Canis lupus familiaris: one gene and its partners. The protein of the gene in region 2 purifies or fractionates together with the protein of the main gene of each other region. This does not show direct contact. Links are inferred from orthologs where the notes say so. Each region holds a gene or a part of one and is shown on either strand. Other genes may lie near its edges.

Evidence for each region.
Region 1: the proteins of NUP85 (region 2) and NUP133 purify together in Homo sapiens (affinity purification with mass spectrometry; 5 studies listed by BioGRID and IntAct, with this or other methods). This does not show direct contact. The link is inferred for Canis lupus familiaris from reciprocal best matches to the Homo sapiens genes NUP85 and NUP133.
Region 3: the proteins of NUP85 (region 2) and NUP37 purify together in Homo sapiens (affinity purification with western blotting; 4 studies listed by BioGRID and IntAct, with this or other methods). This does not show direct contact. The link is inferred for Canis lupus familiaris from reciprocal best matches to the Homo sapiens genes NUP85 and NUP37.

What each region holds. Positions count from the first base shown.
Region 1 is NC_049225.1:10,158,117-10,164,210, forward strand, and holds part of NUP133 (nuclear pore complex protein Nup133), read left to right. Parts: intron 1-273; coding exon 274-377; intron 378-1,699; coding exon 1,700-1,807; intron 1,808-3,388; coding exon 3,389-3,523; intron 3,524-4,496; coding exon 4,497-4,667; intron 4,668-6,094. UniProt on the Homo sapiens protein: Involved in poly(A)+ RNA transport. Involved in nephrogenesis.
Region 2 is NC_049230.1:6,129,023-6,135,313, reverse strand, and holds the end of NUP85 (nuclear pore complex protein Nup85), read left to right. Parts: intron 1-977; coding exon 978-1,061; intron 1,062-1,161; coding exon 1,162-1,227; intron 1,228-1,414; coding exon 1,415-1,566; intron 1,567-2,322; coding exon 2,323-2,440; intron 2,441-2,544; coding exon 2,545-2,645; intron 2,646-3,686; coding exon 3,687-3,838; intron 3,839-4,247; coding exon 4,248-4,349; intron 4,350-4,708; coding exon 4,709-4,807; 3' UTR 4,808-4,892; downstream 4,893-6,291. UniProt on the Homo sapiens protein: Essential component of the nuclear pore complex (NPC) that seems to be required for NPC assembly and maintenance. As part of the NPC Nup107-160 subcomplex plays a role in RNA export and in tethering NUP96/Nup98 and NUP153 to the nucleus.
Region 3 is NC_049236.1:41,245,357-41,251,450, reverse strand, and holds part of NUP37 (nucleoporin Nup37), read left to right. Parts: intron 1-1,103; coding exon 1,104-1,176; intron 1,177-2,567; coding exon 2,568-2,662; intron 2,663-6,094. UniProt on the Homo sapiens protein: Component of the Nup107-160 subcomplex of the nuclear pore complex (NPC). The Nup107-160 subcomplex is required for the assembly of a functional NPC.

The DNA of each region.
Region 1 (6,094 bases), on a different chromosome or scaffold from region 2:
CTTCAGATACATTTCCAAAAATGGTTATAAAAGTCAAATAGATTCTTGTTTTGTTAATAAATATTGATTTACTCAATAGCATTTTTTGGGGAAAAAAAAAGCATTTTTTGATGTGAATGAATCTTTTTTGTATGTGGTAATAACTTATATATATATATAAAGAATGTAGCCATAAAGAAGATTTTCATATAAGGAATTTTAAGGATCTTTTTTCTTTTTAACAATTTTTAAAAATTTATGCTTTAAGATTAATTACACACTTTTTTTTTAAAGTTGATGATCAGCTCACTGTTCACATAGATGAAGGTGGATGGGCTTGTCTGGTCTGCAAAGAGAAACTCATTATTTGGAAGATTGCTCTGTCACCTATTACTAAGGTAATTGCTGTTTAGAGAACTAGTAGGAGATAGAGGAGAGGATTACCAATTGGCTCTAGATTTTTACTCTAATAAAGCTTTAGAGTTGTTACAGGACAGTAATCTGAATTTATACAACATTGTGGATTTCCATTTTTGTTACAATATGAAACACTGAGCATGCATACACATTTCTATTGGGGGGAAAAGTTCCTCCCATTTAATAATTTTAAACTAGAGCTATGTTACTTACATTTAATAACATTAGAGACTTTAAAATTTTTAATGATTGTTATAAGCATCTTGTCAGTCTATCTAATGGAGTTTAAAGACTAAATGCTGTCCACATAAGCTAATGAACTGAGTTTATTTCTAAAATAGGATTGTGTTTCACTGAATTTACTGAATGATGCTTAAGAGAGAAGAACTGAGCGGTGCCTGGGGGCGCTCGGTCAGTTAGGCAGCAACTCCTGATTCTGCTCACATCATAATCTTGGGGTCCTGAAATGGAGCTCTGCCTCACTGCACTCAGTGAGGAGTCTGCTTCAGGATTTTCTCTCTCCCTCTACCCTCGCCCCCCAAATAAATAAATGTCTTTTTAAAAAACAAAGAAAAAAATGATACCAGTTTTAGCAATTGCTAGTTTAACTTTCAGTTGTCAAGTTTCTCACATAGGGTTATCATTTGTGTTTCCAGAACCTTATCCTCAGCAACCTATTTTCCTGTGTGTTTCAGATCAGGCATCCTCTCTTACATCACTCACTGGTTACTGTTACTGGGCCTTATTCCTTTGGAACTGGGGACTCCTGCTTACCTAAACTCTTGATGTCTGTGACCTCTGTACTGCTACTACATAGAAAATAATATTTGTGAGCATAGGAAAGGGAGACAGATGTTCTGGGTGCTGTGATGAGTTAGCAGAAGGAACCTGATACCTGGCTGAGGCTAAGAAATATTTTCTAGACAACTTGGTATAATTAATTGCTCTGTGGTAATGCTGATGTTAGTTGTCAAACAAATCAAGACTAGCCTAGGAAAATTCCATACGTATTTTTCTTAACCAATAGACTTTATTTAGTCCAGAAAAACATTGGAGTAGTTGATATTCAGGGACTAGTCTAGCTTTTAAGTTTTCCTAATCCTATATCTGTTAAAAAACTTTGTTTTGAAATTACCGAAAGCCTGATCAAAAAGATGTGAGAAGAAAGAATATTTGTAGAATGGTATTTCCAGCAGTGAGTCAGAATCTAAAACATGCAAGGAAAAAAAATAGTGAAGTCAGGTGCATATTTTAAAAAATTCGATTGATGTGAAAGATTTTTTTGTTTGGGTTTCTTCTTTAGTTATCTGTTTGCAAAGAACTTCAACTGCCACCTAGTGACTTCGACTGGAGTGCTGACTTGGTGGCTCTCTCTTACTCTGATAACTCAGGTGAAACACAATCTACTCAGGTAGGTGACTTAAATGCTTATTGATACGCATTTTTTTTAAATAAAGAAGTTCTACTATTAGAGGAATCATCCAACCTGATTTAGAGACATAATGATAAAGCCACAGGAATCAAGACTTGTATTGGCAAAGGGACATATAAGGGCATTTGAACAGAATAGAGACTACAGATACAGAGTGGCCCTTTGATCTTTGACAGCTGCAACAATTATTCAATGGAGTAAGGATGGTCTTTTCAGTAAATGGTGTTGGGACCATTGGGCATCCTTATGCAAAGAAAAAGAGAGAAAGGAAGAACTACTCCCTAAATCTCCTACTTTATATAAAGATTAACTCAAAATGGATCATAGGTTTAGATGTAAAACATAAAACTATAAAAACTTTTAGAAGAAAACAGGAAAAAAAATCATCATAATCTGGGGTTAGACAAAGAGTTCTTGGAAATCACCGAAAGCATGATTCATTTTAAAAAATGGATAAATTGGACCTCATCAAAATTTAAAAATTGGCTCTGTCAAACACAGTGACAAGAAAAAGAGACAAGCTACAGCCTGGAGGAGAATATTCTTAAGTCCTATGGCCATCAAAGGACTTGTATCTCAAATGCAAAATGAACTCTCAAGGCTTATTAAGAAAACAACTGAATTTAAAAACAGGGCATAGGACTTGAACAGACACCAAGGGTGTCACAGAGGTGTTCATGTCATTAGCTATTAGGGAAATGTAAATTGAAACAATAGTGAGATATCATAATACATCTCTTAAAATGGCTAAAATACAAAATACTGACACTACGAAGTATTCCCAAGGATATGGGGCAACTGGAATTCATACATTCCTGATGAGAATGCAAAATGGTATAGCTACTGGATTTTCACACTTGCTGTTATGACCCAGCAATTCCCTTCCTGGCTGTTTACCTTATAGAAGTTAAAACTTATATTTACACAAAAAACAGTGTATGAATGTCATGGCAGCTTTTTATTTGTGATAGCCAAAGGTGGAAACAACCCAAGTGTCCTTTAACAAGTGAATGAATAAACAAACAGGGTTCATCCATAGAATGGAATTCTACTCAGCAGTGAAAAGGAATGAACTCTTGATAACAGTAACAATCTGGATGGATCTCAAGACATGCTGAAGTAAGATAAGCTGGTGCTTAAAGGTTACATTCTATATGATTTCATTTGCTTGACATTCTCAGAAAGATGGAACACTAATGATGGAAACAGTGGTTGTCAGGGTTAGGATGAGGGAAAGATGTGATTATTAAGAGAGAGCACCAGGAAGTTTGGGGTGTTGACAGAATTGTGCTGTGTCCCTATATTGGTGGTAGTTACGTGGGTCTGTACATGTGTTAAAATTTGTAGAACTAAAAAAAAAAAATTTTTTTTGTAGAACTGCACAACAAAAGAAAGTAAATTTTATAGTCTGATAATTTTTAAAATATAAAAAGGAGGGGTTTTGTCCCCCCTAATTTTTGTTAAATAGTAAATTGCCCTGGTTTCTTTTTATTGGTGTCACCAGACTCCTAGTTTCAGGGTCTTTTTTATTGTGATTACTGACTGTTATATTGTTTCAAGGCTGTTGCTGTCATGGTTGCCACCAGAGAAGGAGCCATCCGCTATTGGCCAAGCCTTGCCGGTGAAGATATCTACACAGAGACCTTCGTAGATTTGGGAGGTGATAAGACTTACAGTTTCCTAACAGCAGTGCAGGTATACAATGAGTATTCTTTTATATTTATTGGAAAGCTGTGTTTTGGCTTGGGAGTGAGATGTAAACGACTAAAAATTGTTTTGAATAGACCGTACAGGCCAGAGGGGGATCAAAAAGAGGTGAGAAGAATGAAAGGGTCTAGGATTTCAATAGGTGGACAAAAGAAAGCCCTTCTCCTAGGACTCTGAAATACCAATATTGGATCATGGCCAGTGGTATTCATTTCTTTCAGAAATTTTCAGACAGTGACTTAGGAACCCTTAAATGGTATGAAGAATAGTTTACTAATGTCCACTCTGCAAGTTTGCCAACAATAAAGTGTGATACTCGATTTGTTGAACCTGCAGTATGGTGAACCTGTTTAAGGATCAGAATTAAGAAAACATGCAGTTGGGACTCCTGGGTGGCTCAGTGGTTGAGCATCTGTCTTTGGCTCAGGTTGTGATCCCGAAGCCCTGGGATCAAGTAGCAAATCAGGCTCCCCATGGGGAGTCTGCTTCTCCTTCTGCCTGTCTCTGCCTCTCTATGTCTCATGGATAAATCTTTTTTTAAAAAAAGAAAAATATGTGATTAAAAAAACAATTATAACTGAAGTTTTTCTTTTTCTTTTTTTATTTTAAAGATTTTATTTATTCATTCTCGAGAGACATAGAGAGGCAGAGGGAGAAGCAGGCTCAGGCAGGAAGCCCCATGCGGGACTTGATTCCAGGTCTTCAGGATCACACTCTGCGCTGAAGGCAGACACAACTGCTGAGCCATCCAGACATCCCTGAAGTTTTTCTGTGTAGAGTTAATATCATGTGAGTGGATTCATAATTAAATCATTTTAGTAAAATGACACTTAAAATTCTTTTTAGATTTGTTTTAAGGTATAGATGATAGATGATTTGTTTCTATGATCAAAGCATTTTGTGTTAATGTTCTTTATCTCAGTTGTAGATGCATAACTGCTTTCACAATATTTGTTCATAGGGAGGAAGTTTTATTTTGTCCTCATTGGGAAGCCAGCTGGTTCGGCTGATACCTGATAGTTTAGGAAAGATTCATCAACATATCCTACCTCAAGGACAAGGCATGCTTTCAGGAATTGGTCGGAAGGTTTCTTCTCTTTTGGGAATTTTATCTCCAAGTAGTGATCTCATCGTAAGTTGATAAAAATAATTTTGTTTTACAAGCTTGTTTCTTAGTGAAATCAGTAAGTTGGAAGTTTCCTATGATGTTGATATTGCCTCCGTATGAACACTAGTGTATATGAAATAGAATCTTTGATTTTTTTCAGGGAAGCATGTTTTGATCAAATGAGTTCGTATTAACCAAACCCTTTTGCAAACCCTGTAACTTTAGTATTCTTAAATCATACAGATTCTAAGTAGAGTTTTTGAATTAAAATTGTTATATAAAATTATAAATGTGTTTAAGGACCAATTTTGGTTTTTAGATTTAACCAAAAGTGTGTTCTCCATTCCCATGACTCCAGCTGTATGTGTGGATGACTCAGATCTAGATCTGTCAGCCGGGCTTCTGCCTCAGGCTCTGGAATAGTGAAAGGAGGTGGACGAGAGCTAACGTGGAACATCTATTCTCTGCTAGGTGCTCTGTATTTGTTATCTGGAGTAATTGTTATGATGACCTATAATGTAGAGAGCATTCTCCCCAGTTTGCAGATGAAGATACAGCCTCAGGGACATTATGTAAACTGCCTGAGGTTGCACAGCTACTCTGTGGCAGATACGTGCCCAGGCCTCTGGGAATCAAAAGCACATTTTCTTCTCACTGTGCTGTTCGTCACTGCAGGTTGCTCTCATCATCCACTTTCTTGATGGTCTTTGGACCTAAAACCTGATGTGTCTGAAAACACATTGCTCATATTCCCTCTTCTCTTATGTTTTCTGTACCAGAAGTGTATATAAAACTCGTTTCTCTTTTGGGCTGTTTATTTCTGTTCATGACCCTGTCACTTTTTTTAGTAACCTCAATATAAAACCTTCATCCTGTATATATGTGTCTTCCCTTCTATAGCAAATTACTTACTTATCAGATACTATAGATTTGACTTCTACCATGTCTCATTTTAATCCCTATCTCTTGCTTCCATTGTTATGCCCTAATCTACACTCTTTTTAAATTTCCCCTAAGTTCTTCATGCCAGTTTAGTTTACTCACTGTTGGCCCCTTATCCTGTTAGTGGCCAGAATCATGGTAACAGGAAAAATGGAGAAAAGTAGGGCTTTAACTCAAAACAATCATGTGTGCCCAACTAAAAACATAACTGTACTTCAGAACCAAGTATATACTTGAAAAGGCAAAATAATCTACCTACATGGGGCACCTGGGTGGCTCAGTCAGTTAAGCATCTGCCTTAGGCTCAGGTCATGATTCCAGGGCACTGGGATGAAGCCCCATATTGGGCTCTGCCTCTGCCCTTCCCTCTGCTTGTGCTCTCTCTCTTGCTCTCAAATGAAATCTTTTCTAAAAAAAAAAAAAAAAAAAGAACTATGTACATATAACTTGCCACATTCATTTTCCTATAACAGTTCTTGAGTTCAAAAGCCATTGATAATATCTTGTTT
Region 2 (6,291 bases):
CAGGGTGTTTTCAAACAACTGATGATGTAAAACAGTGATTTCCAAGGCATTTACTTAATCAGACCTTTAGAGGGCCCTAGAAACCTTCACTTTTAACAAGGGCCCCAGGAACTTCTAGGTTTTGATTAAAAGTGTGGTTTGGGAGAGGACTTCACCTTCATTGTGGCCAGAGTACATATACGATAAAATTATAAATCTTGTAATTGAACAAAATTTCTTTATACAAAGTACTAATAGAAACCTAAACAAAAGATGGTTTTTAAAAGTATCATGTATATATATGTATATATATAGTCCTATTCATAAAGTATATTAATCAAAAGCTGTACAATGAGAAGCATTAATAGTGAAGCCAGCTGCAAATATATTGCTTTGAAGTCCATGTTTCCTCAAGCATCAAAAACTACCAGTCTCTTAGTCTTTTGTTGATTTCTGTATTTTTGATGTGTTAGTTTCAGGTTTACTACATTTGACAATTCTGTACATCACAAAACGTTCACCACCAGAAGTGCAGTTACCATGCGTTACCACATAAAGTTAGCATAGCTATACTTTTCATTTGCATAAATCACTCATAACTGGAAGTTTGTACCTTTTCACGTAGTTCTCCAGTCCCCTACCTCCCTCTGTCTGATAACCACCAGTTTGTTCTCTGTGTTTATTAAGCCTATCTGTTTGTTTGGTTTTTTTTTTTACACATTATTTTGTATCCACATTCTCTGCATGTGATTGGATCCCTGAATTTTATTTTCACTGTGACATTTTCCAGAGATCTAGATTGTTGGCTTCCACTTTGAGGGCTTACCATCCTTCTGAGTATCCACTGTCCGTCCCCACATAGCACATAGCTGTGTGCTTCCAGACATATTTTCACTTGTTATTGTCCCTCCCATCCTTTTATGCAAAGGATATGCAGGCTCACATGGGCCATATAGTCACCCTGACTCTCCTTCTTGCCCTGGTGTTTGAATCTGTAGTATTGCTCTGAGCAACTGGTGGTTTGTGGCCCATCTGACAGACCTGCTGGATCACTGCAAGCTCCTCCAGTCGCACAACCTGTAGTAAGTGTGTGGCGGCCATGCCTGCCCTTGGGTTGGGCTGTGGGAGGGCCCTGAATGGAGCAGGCCAGGGGTTTGGGTCTCCTGTTATGTTTTCTTTCAGCTTTGGATCTAACATGAGAGAGTTCCTCCTGCTGGAATATGCCTCAGGACTGTTTGCTCATCACAGGTAGGAAAGCCCCAAGGATATGAGGTGCTTTTCAGCATGGATGTACCACTGGGTCTTGGATTGTGCTCTCCCCTGTCTGGTTCCCTGAAGGCAACGGGTCCAGGGGAGGAGTCATCTTGGTGCCAGTCCCCAAGCTCTAGGGCAGCACATGGGCTCATCAGTCGCTCCTGTCCTTGGATGTTTGCAGCCTGTGGCAGCTGGGAGTGGACTACTTTGACTACTGCCCTGAGTTGGGCCGAGTTTCCTTGGAGCTGCACATTGAGCGGATCCCCCTGAGCACTGAGCAGAAAGCTCTCAAAGTGCTGCGGATTTGTGAGCAGCGGCAGATGACTGAGCAAGGTGAGCCCACCCTCCTCCTGCATGCTTGCTGCTCATGCTGCTCTGGCCGGACTGGAGAACGGCTGGGCAGTGGGTGCCAAGAGATAAGCCAAAACAGGAAAATTATTGAGGAAGGACAAATGGCTAGGGAGGTGTCAGGACTTAAAACAGTGGAGCACACGGCCTTTTAAAGAGATCCTGACCCACTTCCTCTCTCCTGCTTACTCTAAGAAGGTCAGGACTGAGGTCAGCTTGGAATTTACTTCTCCCAGGTGGGTTGCTATTGCTAGCTAAGACTGTCTCAGTGGGGAAGCAGGATCAGTCGCAGCTCAGGAAGAGCACAAAAAGAAAGCTGTTCTATTTTCGCCCTCTCCTTTCACTGTTGAGGGATAAAAACCCAAGTTCTTTCTAGAGGCATCTGCTTGCTTATGACCATCGCTGAAAACGTATGGATGGCATTCAAAACCCAAAGGATGTTTTTGGCACCTGGACAAATGCCCTATTAGCTGACCTGTGAGGAGCAATAAAAATCTTTTTGTACTCCTAAAATCAAACCCACTCACAAGGTCATTCCTGCCAGGATGGGACATAGTGTTAATAGAACCAGGAGGCAATTTATAAGCCCCAGAGTCCCCAGTGTTGGCAACAAGTTGTATTTGGAACCTGTGAAGAGGCTGCAGAAAGCTCAGAGGAGAGAGAAGCCTACTCCTATCTGGCAAGGTTCAAGAACGGCCTGATCTGCAGGGTGAAAAGTTCACCTTCTTTTTCCTTACAAAGTCCGCAGCATTTGTAAGATCTTAGCCATGAAAGCTGTCCGCAACAATCGCCTGGGCTCTGCCCTATCTTGGAGCATCCGAGCCAAAGATGCTGCCTTTGCCACGCTGGTGTCAGACAGGTGGGCTCAACCTCTCTTGGCTTTCTGGGGACTGTCTGGGAAGTCGGGAGGCTGAGGAAGGTGGCCTGGGACCGCTGCTCAGACCTCTGGGCCGGGCCTGGCAGGTTCCTCAAGGATTACTGTGAGCGAGGCTGCTTTTCTGATCTGGATCTCATTGACAACCTGGGGCCAGCCATGATGCTCAGTGATCGACTAACCTTCTTGGGTGAGTCTCTGGGCTCTGTCCCTCGGACCTTCAGCACAGTGATGGGTTGTGCAGATGGGAGGGACTGATTTAGGCTTCTCCAGTGTTTCCTTCCTGTTGAGCCCAAATTCCTTGAACTATGTATGCCAGACTCTACAAAGCATATTTTCTGGAAACATTTCCTAGTAGTGTCAAACTTGAGAAAAAGGTACAAGAGTAATATAAGAAGTAAGGAGCTCCCATGTACGCTTTCTCGAAATTCACCATTTTTATTTTGCCTCATTTATTATTCTCTCAGGTTTTGGGGGAGTAATCTGAAAGTTGGAGTTTCTTCCCCTTTCTTCATAAATACTTGAGCACGTGTTTCCTAAGAGAAGCACATCCTCTTCTAGAACTAGCTATCCGAATGTACCGCTCTCATAAAATCTCTAGTCCATGTTCTGGTTATTATCAGCTCTCCCAGTGACGGCTTTTGTCACGTCCACATTCACAAATTCAGTTTTCCTGTCTCTGTAGTGCTTCTGCATTTCTTAGTGCTTCTGCACTTCTTCACCTTGACTTTTTTTTTAAAGATTTTTATTTATTTATTCATGAAAGAGACAGACAGCCAGAGGGAGAAGCAGGCTCAATGCAGGGAGCCCGATGTGTGGGACTCGATCCCAGGACTCCAGGGTCACGCCCTGGGCCAAAGGCAGGCGCTAAACCGCTGAGCCATCCAGGGATCCCACCTTGACATTTTTGAAGAGTCTGTTCTGCTTTCTTATGCCCTTATTTTGGATTTATGTCAGGTTTCCTCATGATGAGATTGAGACCTATGGGTTCTTCAATCTGTTGCAGTCCACGTCTCTGGTTTGGTTTGGTGGTTACATTCTGGGAGGTTGGCTCTTTGGAGCTCCTTCAAAATGTATGTGTGTGTGTGTGTGTTTATGTGTGTTTTCAATTCTGTTGGTACATGAGTTTCGAGACCGTTCTGGAAGAGTCTCCCTGCTTTGGAGCAGCTGGTCTGGGGTTTCTCATCTTGTTTAGGGCCAGAGGTGACTCAGTGCTCTGTTTTCTCAATAGGAAAGTACCGCGAGTTCCACCGATTTTATGGGGAGAAGCGTCTTGCTGATGCAGCTTCTCTTCTCCTGTCATTGATGACTTCCCAGATAGCCCCACGGTCTTTCTGGGTAATACTATTAATAGATGCCTTGCCCCTTTTGGAAGAGAAAGAGGTACAGTTTGAATTCAGAATGATTTTCTTCTCTGTGTTTTGTAGTCCTTGATTGTGCTTCATTCTGTAGCTGTTGTGGGTGCACATCCACACATCATCTCCCAAGTAGGGCCCTGCACGTATGTGTGCATTCCCCTGTAACGCCCACTCTGAAAATCTGGTATCTACCCAAGAAAAGCTACTTAATTTGAAATGAAGCAGCAGTCTACGGATAGTACTCCGCCTAGGGCCCTGACAGGAAGGGCTGAGAGTGAGCATAAGGGCTCTGTCCTCCCAGAGCTGCATATACAGAGCTCACTCCTCCCAAGGGTTTGCACAAAGGCCATCTCTGAACCCAGGTGCATGCCCAGACCAGTGCAGCCCTTGCCTGGGGAGCAACTAAGCAAAGCAGCCACTCCTCTCTCTCCTAGGTGGTTTTTTCAGCAGAGCAAACATATGAGCTGATGAGATGTCTAGAGGACTTCGCCTCAAGAAGGCCAGTGTGGAGAGAGCCTGGTGTTCAGCGACTCCAGGTTATTTTAGCTTTTGGATTGTTGATTCCATAATGGTGATGAGAAAAGGCTCCTTCCATCTTAGACTTCCCTACTTTCCTCCAGAAACACTGGCTCCTTACAAACTTGTGCTTCTTGAGTTACCTTTTAACCTGTTATTGACACCCCCAACTCTTTAGTAGAAAGTAGGGTGGTTCTAGTGTTCTGTTCTTTTCTTCTGGCGGTCACAGTGGGCCTTTGCATGTGGTTCTGTCAACTTGCTGGAAGCTAGTACTAAATGCTAAATGCCCTTGGTCTGCCTTTGGGTCAGATAGAGCCTTGCAGAGCTTTAAAGAAGGAACACTTCTGCTGTACCTCACGCTGGCTCTGTTTACTTTTAGGAGGACGTGGAGAACACGAAGTTGGAAATGCTGAGACTTGCTCTTGCACGAAATCTTGGCCGGGCCATTATAAAAGAAGGCTCACTGGAAGGATCCTGAGGTCAGCCAAGAGCTGCTTCAATGTGTCATTTTCATATGGCAATGTATATAGATTTCTGAAAAAATAAATTTTTCTTCCCCCAAATAGAAGGCAAATTCTTGGAGTCCAGCCTAGGGAGTTTCCCCTCTACTATGAACCTGAGGTTGGTGGTAATTAAGAAAGTGCTTGTTATGTTTTCCTTGGATGGAACTGGTCTCCCTGTCTTCCAAGAGAAAAAAAAGCCACTCCTAGAAGTCATGACGGTGAGTGCAGTGCCCTCCTTCCCTATTAGCTTAAACAAGAGTGGTCAGTGGTTTACTTACGCTTCTGAAATTTAGCCTTTACAATCAACTGGAACCTTTACCTGGTTTTTACTTTAGAAAAGGAAAAGGTCCAGGAACCTGTACTTTGACCAACAAAAATCTCAGGTGATGCCAGCATATCTACCTGTATACGTCTGGAATTCCTAAGTGGTGCTTTGTCCACAGTAGAGTGAATGGTCATCTGTATTAGGATTCCAGGTAGGGCAAAAATGATTTTATTTGACATGCAGCAAAACAAGGGCAGCAGAGTCAGTATATTGTACACAGCCATTTGTCACAAAGCAGTGACTTCAGTAGTAACACTCAGATAGTTTTAATGTCTAAAGCTTATTATAAAGGTGTATTTTCCATATAGTAATCCCACAAATCTTCCCAGGGCTGCAAGCAGCCAGTCTCTGGAAAGCTCTTAAATTTATAGGTAGTGAAACTGATTCACTTTTGACTTGTCCTAATGAAGCAGTGAAACCTGCTTGCTCAAGATGGAAGGGAAGGAATACAGTAAGGAAACCTGGCAAAGTGCAGGGAGGGATCAGGGAGTGTGGTTTGTGCCACCTTTCCCCAAAGATGGCTCTGTGCCATCCAGCTGAGCTCAGGTGAGCTGTGTGCTCTTTCCTCAGCTGGTGGAGGCAATTTTCCTGTTGCCCCATGAGGCCTAGACTCCCTGGCCCAGTTGCATCTGGTAGATGGAACAACTGGCACAAGCTTTCTGGAGCTGAGCACTGTCAAAGCAACAGGGTCTGGTGACTCGATTCAAGCATGGTTCCTGATCTCACCACCTCCAGACCCCATATCGCGGTGACTGGTGCCCCTCAGCAGCTGGGGATAGTCAAGGTCCCTGGGCAACAGGTAAGGATAGAAGTCTAGTGCAATGTGCCTGACCCTGAGGCCTCCTATTCCCAATCACATGCCACACAACAGGCCATCTGGTGGGAAGAGGGGAAGGCCCAAGCAGGAGGACGCAGAGGGTGATGGGAGTTGTTCTTCCCTTCAGAGGCTTGAAGGGCAGAAGAGCAGTTTATTTCATGCCAAGCAAGAGGTAGTGAATAGGATGGCCTGTTCTCAAGGCAGGAGGCACACTTTCCCCAGAAAGCTTTGAGTACCTGCTTCCAGAGAAGGGGAATACTGGTTCTCTTCATTCTTTCATACTCCTAGTTTTGGCTGCCCCAAGGCCGAGTTCTGTT
Region 3 (6,094 bases), on a different chromosome or scaffold from region 2:
AAGTAGCAACGTTTGGAGAAAGGTGGAACAACACAAGGTTTGCCATAAAGTTTGGTGAGTGTGTGTTCCTTTAATAAGATCCTTTCGTTATTTTTTTTTAAGTAAATAATCTTTGACTTCTGTAAGTCCTTTGTTTTCAATGTTTTTACTGAACATGGCCTTATTACTCTTTTACTAATACTTTATAAACCTTTTTGCTTGGAATATTTCTTTTAAAAACCTTCTAAAGTAGCCTTTTTCTGTTTTATTAGAGATGATTTTTAAATGATTTCTTATGACGTAAGTATGAGGAGATGTATGTTAGGAAACCCTCACATTAGTAATGTTGTTAGAAAAATCTGTTCTAGAGTTTCCTCTGAGTGGAAAAATATGAATACCCAAAACAATAGTAGGATAAATTCAAAGGAGAAAAACCAGGTAGATAGGCTTTGTTTTTTACGTTTTCTTACCTTTTATTGGTATGTTATGAAATATAGCATACATGCCCAAAAGTGCCCCAAAAAGTACATGGGCAATTTAACAGGATTATTATAAAACAAACACCCTTGTAATGGTCACCAGGTCAAGAAGTAGAACATTCCCAGCATCCAAGGACCCCTTGTGCCCCTCCCTAATCAACCCTCTTCCTTCCCGTTAAAGATAATTAAACTCATGATTATTACGGCAGTCAATTCTTACCTTTTTATTTTTTATTTTTTTTTTCGTAAAGATTTTATTTATTTATTCATAGAGATGGAGAGAGAGAAAGAGGCAGAGACACAGGCAGAGGGAGAAGCAGGCTCCATGCAGAGAGCCCGACGTGGGACTCGATCCAGGGTCTCCAGATCACGCCCTAGGCTGCAGGTGGCGTTAAACCGCCAAGCCGCTGGGGCTGCCCTTCTTATCTTTATAAAATAGTTTTATCAGCTATGTATTCATCCCTAAAACAATATAGTTATTATATTATTTTTTCCTACTTAATGAACTTTCATACAGATGGAATAATAATATCATTTTTTTTGTCCTGCTTTGTTCATTTGACTTTATGTATGTGAGATTCATCCTTGTCTCTGCTTGTAGCTCCAGTTATTGATTTGTGTTGGTTTTTGTTTTCTTAATTCCAGATTTTGTACTTCAGCTGCTGATATGAAAATAAGATTATTTACTTCAGATCTTCAAGATAAAAATGAATATAAGGTATGTTGACAACTGTAATTCATAACTTTATTTGAAAACATCATTTTGCCTTTTTAATTGGATTTATCTCAATTTAAAATGACGTATAATGGTCACCTTTAAAGTATACAGTTTAGGATTTAATTTACTCAATTTTAGGCTATAGTAAGAACTACAGATTATAAATTTGATATTTATTAAAATATTAGGTAGGCACAACAAATGAGAGAGAATTAGAAATTCACATTTGGGTATAGTAGGAGGATTATAGACATGAACACGCGTAGTGTTGAGAGTCCAACTTTGAGACAACCAATGATTAGTGCAGCATATAGGGCAAGGTAGAATTACAAAGCACTTAAGAGCGCAGACACAGGAGCCAGACTGCCAGGGTTTGAAGTCAGTTCTCCCGCGTTAGTAGCAGTGTGACTGGTCAAGTTCTCAATTTCTTTGTGCTCAGTTCCTTATCTCTAACATGGAGATAATCATAGTATCTGTCTCATAAGATTATGAACATTGACTGAGCTAATTCATATAAAACAAAACAATGTTTTGTACAAGTGAACCCTATGTATATGTTTTCTATTAGTATAATAAATAACCCTGTAAAATAAGAGAAAGATGAGTACTGTATGATCTCACTTATATACAGAATTTTAAAAACCCAAACTCATAGAAACAGAGTAGAGTGGTGATTGCTGGGGTCTGGGGGAAATGAGTAGATGTTGGTCAAAGGGTACCAAACTTCCAGTAATAAGATAAGTAAGTTCTAGGAACCTAATGTACAGCACAATTAGTATAGTTAATAGAATGGGTTTTATACTTGAAAGTTGCTAAGAGAGTAAATCTTAAATGTTCTCACCATAAAACAAAAATTAATTTCTAGGTTGTCATGATTATTGGCTTCTAATACTTGTCTCCAGTGCTGGCAGGCACATTGAGGAAATGAATAAAGACCTCAGAAGGTGAAATCCTTACTATGTGTTTATTAGGCAGTAAGTTTGCTGAGCAGTAGGTATGAGTTAAAAAGTTCAGGAGGCTCTATCTCGGTGCCCCTAGAAAGTTATTCTAGCTTTAATTTTTATTAAAGCTTTATATAATAAGTGAGAGAGGAGGTGAGATGAGGACAGGTACAGTAAAAAAAGTGTGTGTGTGTTTTTATAAGAAATGCATACTAGAAAAAAAAGATCAAGCTAATAGCAATGTGTTGAGTGATCAGCTTCTTTCCAAGATAAACCTTCCAGTAAAGTGGGTGTATAAATCATGCTTTAAAAATAGCAGATTGCTTAAGAAATATTTATAGAAAAGGGAAGCATGCAGTGAAAGTTTTTAAGGCAGTGAAGTAAAAATATTAGTTAGAAATATTGTAGATTATTTTCCTGTATTCTTACTACCTTTTCCCCTTATGTCAGGTTTTAGAGGGCCATTCAGATTTCATTAATGGCTTGGTGTTTGATCCCAAAGAAGGACAAGAAATTGCAAGTGTGAGTGATGATCATACCTGCAGGTATGTTACTTAATGTTAAAAGCACATTTTTCAATTTTCATCTTATTTTAATGAGAATTACATTGTAAAATTACAGAAAATATAATTTTCATATATACTCCATAAAATGTTGTAAAAGATGCACACTTTATTTAAATTATAAGCATGGCACAGACATAAGTTTCAAAACTAGTGAGCTCTCATCCCAGATAATGAAAACTTCCCTCTCTGCCTCTTAGTTTATATATATATATGCATTTATGAAATTTAAATATATATTGGGTCAAATTCTCCACTATTGGGTAAGATCAGTAGGGCAATAAAAGGCAGTTGCCATATTGTGGATTTATTTTGCAGATCCTGTCTGATAACTTGATGTTTAATGAATTGCAAATCTTCTTTGCTAAAAAAAGACATGAGAGATTTCCTGTTTTGACAAATCTGAAGTCTGTATATAAGGTTTTCTGTAGATATAGTGCATTTCAATATCCTTTTCTTCCATCCCATTCCCCAGTTTGGAATGGATGAGAGCTATAACATTTTTTAATAGTGCCTAACAGTGGAGAATTTCACAAGTAAAGAACAAGATGAAGAGCAAGAGTAGGAGGTGGAAATAAGCTGAGGAGTCAGGAGTGAGATGAGGGAATTCTAAAGGAGTGCCAGTTTCATTTGCTTTAACAGTACTGTGAGAAAAAAAACACAGCTCTGCTATTTCACATAGTTTTAATATTTGATAAGGCTATAACAAAATCATTAGTATTTGTGAATACTTGTATACACATAAAACCTTTAAGTATGTGTCCTTTCACATTGGCAGTAAAGCCATTAGCTACTCTTTCAATTTTAATCATAATAGCTCATCTTTTTAAAGTTACTGAGTCATAGGTCATTATTCTTTATATACTGCCTGTGAAAATGTTCATGTCAAGAACAGAAAAATTTTAAGGTGTTAGGGCCTCAAGTGTTACAAACCCCAAGTTTGTATAGAGACCTGAAGAGTAAATGGGATAATTTTTAAGGTAAAATTTAGAATAGATCACAGATACAAATAATGACATTTTAGTTCTCTAACTCATGGACTTTCCTAATCACAAGCATTTGGAATAATGAAACTTGAGAAGGGGGAAAATAAGTGACTTTGCAAGCCAAGGAATAACCTCTGAATAGTGAACAATAGCTAGAGACCTGGGATTACATTCAGTGGTCTGTGATTACTTTTTTTTTCTTATAATAGAATTTGGGGGTTTTTTAGACTAGTAAAATTGTCCTAAAATTTTAGGGACTGACAAAGGGTTGCCAACTTTTTGTCAAGTAATAAGAATTTTAAAAAGTCTGCTGCCTTCTATTATTACCATCATTTTATGAAAGTAAGAACATTGTTACTCTAAAAAGGAGAAAGGCTTAACTTCAAAGTAAGTCCTTTAAATAAATTTAGCTTTTTGAAAAACTTACTCTGATGCCCCTAATTGCCTTATTTTGCTAGACTGTGGTTGATGATGTTATTGTTCAACAAATACTTACTCTCCCTCCCCCTTCACATGGAAGGAGATTTTCCCACACCATTGGGTTTAGCTTGTTTAGGCCATCACAATGTTAGCAGTTGTGATGCAAGCAGACATTGAAATGATTTACCTGGTTTGTGTTGACCTACTGTCCTCTGTCTCCTATAAGATGAACATGTCTGGATAGCTACTGGTCCCAGAATGAGAAACATATGGAACAAATATGGACCCATCTGGTATTATGAAATAGAGCTTCCTGCAGACTTGTGAGCAAGAAATTTATGCTTATTTTTATAAGCCATTGAGATTTGGAGGTTGATAACATCATTTTAGCAATAGCTGGGGAGCTAAATTTAGAATTCATCAGGTTAGTTCTCCTATCAGAAGTAAAGGACAGTTCTGATTGGCTATTAAAGAAAGTCAGACCTCTTGGGCCAAAAACAATATATATGAGACTTTTAAAAGAAACAGCATAGGGATGCCTGGGTGGTTCAGTGGTTGGGCAGCTCAGGCAGTGGTCCCGGGATCTGGGATCAAGTCCCACATTGGGCTCCTGCAAAAAGCTTGCTTCTCCCTCTGCCTATCTCTCTCTCTCTCTCTCTCTGTCTCTCTCTCTCTCTCTCTCTCTCTGTGTCTCATGAATAAATAAACATATCTTTAAAAAAAAAATAAAAGAAACAGCATAAATCAAGAAGTTTAAGGAAGAATAATAAGTATCATACATTCATAATAACAAATGGAAGAAGGGATTCCGAGAGGACTACAAGAGGAAAATATTTCAGTACAACTATCTTCATTAATTCAAAGTATAGAATGAATTGCCAAGTTACTAATAAAGACACCATCCAAATGGCAGCTGTGGTTTGGGCAATGGAAATAGCTATTTATATCCTAGGAATCGTCCCTATCGCTATACTAAAGAAATGCCTACCATAGTTTGGGTCTGCATGTTTCATTTGTTCACTTGGACAAATGAAATCCTTGTCCAATCATAGGCAAATCCTCTTTCATCTTGGAAGTAATTTTATGTGCAGGTGATACCATGCTTAAAAATACATACTCAATAGAATAGCCTGAAGGTCAACAAGGAACTAGAGGATTTGAACAACATTATAAACAACTAGACCTAACAGATGTATACGAAACACTCCAAACACTTTCAGCATCACCAGAATACACATTCTTCTCAAGTATACATGAAACATCCTCCAGAATAAACATTATGTCAAGCCTAAAAACAAGTCTAAATAAATTTTAACAGATCAAAGTCATGCAGAGTATCTTATTTGACCACAGTAGAATAAACCAGGAGTCAGTAACAGAGGTAAAATTGAAAAATCTACAAATATCAACATATAAACAAGTCAAAAAAGAAATAAGGGAATTTAGAAACTACTCTGAGGTAAGTACAAATGAATACACAACAAAATTTACAAGATGCAGCAAAACCATGCCCAGAGGGAAATTTATGGCTATAACCACCTATATTAAAAAAGAAGAAATAAAAAAAAAGAAATAACTGGAATCAGTAACATCAGTTTACACCTTTAAAGAGCTGGAAAAAGAACAAAGGAAACCCAAAGGGAGCAGAAGGAGGAAAGTAAAGATGACAGCAGAGATAAAATAGAAATAGAAAATAATAGAGAATAGATGACACCAAAAGTTGGTTCTTGGAGAAGATAAAACAAACTTTGCAAACCTTCAGCAAGACAGACGATTCCAATTAGTAAAATCAGAAAAAGTGGGATATTACTACTGACCTTACAGAAATAAAAAAGATTTTTAAGAGAGTATTATGAACAGTTACAAACCAAAAAATTTACCTAGATGAAATGGTAAAGTCCCAGAAACACAAAATTCCCAAAACTCAAGAAAAAGAGAATATCTGAATAGACCTATAGAAAATAAGGAGATTGAATCAGTAATCAAAAACTTCCCAAAAAAGCAAGCC